2 linked regions of the Canis lupus familiaris genome follow. The protein of the gene in region 2 interacts with the protein of the main gene of each other region in a pairwise test. Links are inferred from orthologs where the notes say so. Each region holds a gene or a part of one and is shown on either strand. Other genes may lie near its edges.

Evidence for each region. The genes of interacting proteins can lie anywhere in the genome.
Region 1: the proteins of CEP44 (region 2) and H2AP interact in binary tests that used the Homo sapiens proteins (3 or more experiments, as listed by UniProt). The two-hybrid records come from large-scale screens. The link is inferred for Canis lupus familiaris from reciprocal best matches to the Homo sapiens genes CEP44 and H2AP.

The regions. Positions count from the first base shown.
Region 1 is NC_049260.1:32,883,211-32,885,822, forward strand, and holds H2AP (huntingtin-interacting protein M), read left to right. Parts: upstream 1-1,520; 5' UTR 1,521-1,574; coding exon 1,575-1,940; 3' UTR 1,941-2,070; downstream 2,071-2,612.
Region 2 is NC_049246.1:24,948,114-24,952,472, forward strand, and holds the start of CEP44 (centrosomal protein of 44 kDa), read left to right. Parts: upstream 1-1,523; 5' UTR 1,524-2,051; intron 2,052-3,588; exon of another isoform or gene 3,589-3,905; intron 3,906-4,359. UniProt on the Homo sapiens protein: Centriole-enriched microtubule-binding protein involved in centriole biogenesis. In collaboration with CEP295 and POC1B, is required for the centriole-to-centrosome conversion by ensuring the formation of bona fide centriole wall.

The DNA of each region.
Region 1 (2,612 bases), on a different chromosome or scaffold from region 2:
TGGATAACCTCAGCCATCTCAGCAGAAGCTAGGAATTGAGATGGCATTTTCCTGGAAGGATCTGTGAACAAGTTTCTTGTCTAAGGGCACAAATCCCCATGTAGTATGGGGTGGGGAATTACAAGATTTTTGAGTATGCTAAATCAGCAAAAACTATGCTATCTTTAACTGAGAAAATAGATGAAATGAAAGAAGGTCATGGAGCTCCCAAAATTTGACAAGAGGAAAACAGGCTGATAAAACTACTCAGCTGAAAACATGTGTTCCATTCAAAATAAAAGGAAGGTGATTTTGAGGACAGAGCCGAGGGCCTAGAGGGCAGAGCTGTGGGCCAAGATGAAGTCATGGGATCAGAAGGAGCCACAAGCTACAAAATATTATTCCCAGACCTTGAAATGTATGTAGGTTTGTCTGCTTGATCCACATTGCTTGGATCAGACTCTTTTCTTCCTGCTACTTCTCTCTTTTGGATTGGAAATGTCTTTAATTGTTACCGCTGTAAATAAACCCCAAACAAAGCAGAAACACCAACTTCGTGGAAAGGGAAATTAAAATGAGAAAAAAATAATGGGGCGCCTGGGTGGCTTACTCGGTTAAGCATCTGATTTTGGCTTAGGTTGTGATTTCAGGGTCCTAGGATTGACCCTGGCATGAGGCTCCATGCTCAGCAGGGAGTCTGCTTCTCCTTCTCCCTCTGGTTTCTCCCTGCTCATGCTCTCTTTCTCTCTCTCGGTTTCTTTGTCTTTCTCAAATAAATAAATAAAAACTTTTCTTAAAAAATGAGAATAAAATGAGAGGAAACACCTCTTGGTGCTTTGGCTTCATCTAGGACAGCCAAGAAGACACAACTGGACTTAAACTAAGTGCAAAGTACACTTCTCTCTCTAAACAATGTTTACGTGATTCTGAAAGATGCATCCATTGAGCATCTCATTATGACTTCCACAATGATCAAGAGATATTTTTCAAACAGTGTAAAATGAAGAGGCTAATACAGGTATGAAATAAACGTGTATTAAAAGATTCTATTTAATCAGTGAGGGAATGGGAAGAGGATATAACTGGTTCATAGAGAATCCAAGGATTAGATACAGGAATGTTAATCAAAAATATTTAAATGCATGTGTGAATGGAGGCAAAACTGGTTTCATTATATCATGGAAGGGGGACAATATAATCTCTACTAGACAATACATTTTACATATTTATCACTAACCTACAACTAATGAAGGATTGTAAAAGGCCTCAAAGACCATATAAGGCCAGAATCAGATAATGTAGAGTGATGTCCTAAGACGGGGAAGTTTCCCATTGGAATACACATTGATCTCTACAATGTTAAAATCAAGCAGAAAATTCTAGTTCTCTCAAAATCAGGGTCTGTTCATTAGGGTGACCAGGTTCCTGTCATGGACATTTCTGGGCTGAGGCCTGATAAGGACACAGTGGACACCAGTGACATCCCAAAGTCTATGATGTCACAATGAGGGGCCAGGGCTTAGGAATATAAATGGGCGGGGTTGACCCCTGTTGTCTTGAGAGGCACAGTGCAGCTGGGGAATCAAGCAGAGCTGATGGAGCCAAACCCTGCCAACATCATGTCAGGGAACAAAAACCATGAGAGCTCCAATCAGACTCAAGCCCATCTTGTAACAACTGAGCTGCAGTTCCCTGTGAGCTATGTGGACCGCCTCCTGCAGGAAGATCAGCGCACCCACTGCCTAAGTTCAACATCTACTGAATTCCTCCTTGCCATGCTCGACTCCCTCACCGACTACATCCTGGAGCGTGTAGGCACTGAGGCCAATAACAACAACATGCAGACTGCCCCACAAGATGTGGAGAGAGCAGTGGGCAGCAACAGAGAGCCCCAACAATGCCTGAAGGATACAGCCTTCACTCTGTTTGATGAGATGCCTAGATCCAGGAGAAATGGCTAAAGCCTGGGTCCTAGACTTGTGGGAGTCCTCACAGCCTTAGTCTAAGCCAAGACTTCTTATAACTGAGAAGTCTGGCTTCTGTCATCAGTTAATGCTATTAAAGTGTTGAAGCTCAGGGCTATGCCTCTGACTTGTCTCTGTTTCTGTCCTTCCGAGTCGGCGGGGTCTGTGAGACACCCAGGAGGAGATCTCCTGTGGGGAGTGGAGGGAGGAAGGGGTGATCAGTGTGGGAGGCTACAGTCCAGTGTTTCAGGGAGGGGTTTCTCTGGGCCCTGGGGGGGAGTAGCTGGCTGCAGAGGAGAGACTTCCTCATGGGCTCTGAGCAAGTCAAGGCCTGTGGGCTGAGAGATTGGCAGCGGGTGGGGGGCTTCCCAGGCATGTTGAGTTCCCAGAACCATGGTGGTAACTGGGAAGGTCCTGAAGCTCGTGACTGAGGTGCCAGGAACCTTATTCATGAGAAGGGAACGTGTAGAAGTCAGAAGGTGATGGCAGTGCGGGTGGATGGAGAGGATGGCAGAGCAGTTGACGTGAACTTGATGGCATGAGCTTTACGTGAAGATTGAGGGGCGATGGGGAACCCATGAAGAGGTATACAGAGTGGAACGGTGCTCAGGTTGATTTCATTCACTGATACCCTGCCTCATTCCAAAAAAGGATGTAAGACAGATAATA
Region 2 (4,359 bases):
TCATCCAGTGGGAAAGCAGCTACCATATTGTGGTAAAAGCCCATGTGGTGGAGAACCTAGGCCTATCAATCACTTGGAAGCAGATCCTCCTACCCCTCAGTGAAGCCTTCAGATGAGATCATAGTCCAACTGTAGGTTGACTACAAACTCAAAGACCTTGAGTCAGAGGCTCTCTACTAAGCTGTAACTAAATTTCTAACCCACAGAAACTGTGAGATAATAAGCCATGTTTATTTTTTTAAGCTGCTAAATTCTGGAGTAATTTGTTACCCAGCAATAGATATCTAATACAGTATCTCATCAGACAAATTATCAAAATAATTGGCAAAAAAATGGAAGTTTCCTATTCAACTTGAAAAACAATAACATTATTTCTTCATTCTCAGATCAATTGGCTCAATTTTGTACACCATTTTCTTAAAAATATGGTTTCAAAAATATGGTTACCATACTGCAAATATTAAAAAGGGAGGAGTAAAGCTGAAATGAAAAACATAAATCAGTTTCACTTTGTAGTAATAAAAATCATGATACATTGATTTGGAGGGAAACATCTAGGATCCTTGAAAAATAAAAATTCAACTTGTTAAATAGACTCCGTTGTTTAATGACTAACTGCTTACATAACCTAAAAATAAAAACAAAAAAAAACTTCAATGAGGATTGGGACTAACTTATGCAGTTTCGTGTAATAATATTTAATCGGAACACCCGCCATGGAAGAGAGTAGAGACCAGTCACAAAGAAAAACAAACAGACAAATTAAGAACCTGCCAAATCTGTGACATTTGAAGCACCGGGCAAAGCCATCATGATCTTAAGTAGAAGTGTTTGCATTCGTATCACTGAAAAGTAAGCAAAGAACCGAAAACTGCATATGCATCAAGAAAATACTCTATTTGAAAAGCAGCACTTGGGCTTGAAAAGAGTAACCTTTGCCATGTCTCAGCTTTATTTCATAGCGAGGCTGGGACACTCCCTGGGGTCCCAAGTTAACCTATACTCCAGTGGCCTAGAAACATAAGGACACACCCACTCCCGCCTCCTGGTACAGACTCCACATTTTAACAAGCCGCCGCGGCTGTCACTCAAGATGCTCTGCGCTGCCATTGGTCCCAAAGTCTTGCTGGTTGGCAAGTTTCTGCCAACTGGCAAGCACCGGTTGTCTTTATTCCCGAGAAGAAAAGTAAAAGTATGCAGAAGAGAGAGGCAAGAGCTCTGAAATATTTTGTACCTGAGCGACCTGCGATCCCCACCGCCGCCGCGACGAATCGGCCTCTGGGCGGGGGCTTTTAGTCAAAAAAGAAAATGGCTCAGCCAGGAACTGATGCCCAGGCCATGGAGAAGCCGGTTCAGACTTTACTCGTTCCCGCCGGTGGAGCTAACAGCGGCGAGAATGCCAAAAGCAGCGCAGGATCCCCCTGAACTCCGCGCACCTCAAGCTGCAGCAGGCAGAGCTGCCGACCGTCCGACTTTTTGACGTTTCCTATTGTTGCCGGAAGTGACGTTAGGGTTCTGAGCCTTAGAGAAGCCGCGTTTTTGTTCCGGGTATTTACGATTCGCTATAGATCCCCCGTTTCTCACTTCGTCCCCCGAGCTACTCTAAGCACTAACATTAGGCAAACTTTTAATCTGCAACTTGGGATCGGGCTGGCCATTGAAAAGCGCCTCGGCAGAGCCAGCGTCCTCGGGGGTCTGGACAAACGTGGTGTGGAATCTGCAGCGAGGAATCGTGAAGCACCGAGGAGCCGGCAGCTTTGAAGGTGTTGCCGCGGCGCGCGGCGGGCTTCCAGCCACTGTTGAAATACAAACGGTCGACGCGAGCCTCGGGCCGCCGCCGCTCCTCGCTGCTGTCGGCTGGGCTCCGGTGGCTCGCTCCGGTCGCCTATGCTGTCTCCCCCTGTCCCTGCTGAGCGGGGCGGGAGGCCTGCGGGGCCCTCCTCCGTGCTCGGCGGCTGCTGGGGAGGCTGGCGACGGCGCGCCCCGGGTTATGCAGGGGAAGCCTCTCTCTGCTGCCCTTTCCGAAACGGCGGGCGGGAGCGAATGACCAGGTGTGCCTTTTCATCCTTTTAAGTCGAACGGAGGGAGGGGAGTCGTAGAAGTGCCCCGCCTGTAGACTCCACCGGTGTGGCCTTCCTTAGGATAAAGAGCCAAGTAGGGCAGATCGTGGCAGCCAGCTCAGTTTAGGGTTAGGGTGGGCGAGTTACAGGCTGATTCCTTCACTTGGCAGCTCTGAGCTCAGGAAAGATCAGCCTCCTCCGAAATGCGGACTGGAAGGAAGAGGTGAAAAGCTGAGCGTTTCCCTTGCTTGCGTTTCCCTGGGTTTTCTGTATTTCTCCATCTTCTGGACAATTTAGGGTTTTTTGATTTTTATTATTTATTTTTATTTTTATTCTTTTTACCTCTCTAAGGGGAAAAAAAAAAAATCAGCCTTGGGCATTTTGATTCCGAAATTATGGGTACCCAAGACTGTTGCCCTAAAGCGACCCACAAATATTTTATATTCGTGAGCACTTTGTGAACATGGCAAGCCTACTGAGCTCCTTGCTCGACCCGCACCCTCTTTGTTTTTCTCCCAATATTCTCGGTGTTTTTCCTTTTCCAGACCTTTTCTGCGTATCTCTTAGACCAGTGTTTCCCCGAATATCTTTTGCGAAAATTTCGTAAGCTTAATTTTACCTCCTATTTTTGATAACGAGTTTTTGTTTGTGTGTGTGTGTGTGTGTTTTTAATAAAATCTAGTATTGTAAGATATGTCACAAACTCTTAGCCATGGACCGTAAGCATTAAAGTCCGTGTACCTGCTTCATTCTGAACAAAAATCACTCTGAGTTCAATGGCTTTCCATGGGGAGGCATCATTTAGGAACTCTGACTGCAAGGAGACTGAGCTAGATTAAAAATCATAAACTGCTATTGTATTCCGTTTTCACGGCGTCTCCCCCAATAGTATATATATATTTTAAAAGGTTGGTTGGTTTATCTATCTATCTATCTATCTATCTATCTATCTATCTATTTATTTATTTATTTATTTATGATAGGCAGGCAGAGACACAGGAGGAGGGAGAAGCAGGCTCCATGCAGGGAGCCCGAGGCAGGACTCGATCCCAGGTCTCCAGGATCAGGCCCTGAGCCAAAGGCAGGCACTAAACCACTGAACCAGCCAGGGATCCCCGCGTCTCCCCCAATAAAAGTAGTTAGGCAGATCTGACTTGTGGAGATACCTCTCCGGAGGATGCTAGGAAGCAATATTGAGTACACCGTAATGGTTGGAATCTATGTTACAAATAGTTCTCCTCTTCATTTCTTTTGATAAGGGTTATAAAGTGAAAACATTAATCAAGCTTAAAAAAATTACAAGTTATTTTTCATTTCTGCAGGTACTGTGCTAATAAAATGCACATAACTTGTAGATTGGCTTCTACAAGTCATAGAATACTTTAATTTTAGTATTTTTCAGTTTTGTAATATATTTAGCAAAGTCTTTCATGAAAATGTAGAACAGTAGCTGTCATTTTTTTGTATGATACTCACTTTTATCCCTTTTTTTTTATCCTGTTTTATTACTTATCTCCTTCACCTGCAGATTCAACCTGTACTTGTATCTTACCCTTCTTCAAAATATTTGTTCTGCTGATATGGAAGAGGATGTGTTCCAAGGACATACTTTGTTGTCAGAAATTCCATTATCAGAGGTAGAAATCTGAGACATTGACATATGTTCCAGGACTTCAGAGGAAGGAAAGATACCACAAAGTATTAAACAAAATTACATGTATTAGAAGCATGGAATATACATTTGAAAGAATTAAAGGAAATCTATGGAGAGATACACAATTTATATAAAAGTTATAGAATGCCTTAGATGGAAAAGGTACCCCTAGAAGAATCATATTAAGATAGGTAGGTCTGGAACGTAATACAATACTATATTGGCTAGTGGCAGTACCTAAGAATATATATTTTTTTGCAGTTACAACCAGATTAGTTCCCATTTCATCTCCCAGGGAAGTAAGGCTGGTCTTGGGAAGCCCTCTCTTACTGTTTCCCTATGTCCATCTATCACCTAGTCATCCTAAAAGGTGTTAAATAAGGTCTATTTTCTTGGCCAGTATTTTGTATAATGTGATTTCAGAATCACTCCCTCTTTTTCTAGTTATCTTCCATTTGGCAGTACCTGAAATTCCTTCTGCCTAAAAAATGTAAATATTTAGAAGTAATTGATTAACTGAAAAATACTAAAATCCATGCATGTTTATAAATTATATTCAATAACCTGTTCTTTACCATATCCCTAAAGGAGAACAGTCTTGGAACAGCAAGATACTATGTTCCTAAAAAGGGGGGAAGCAGCATT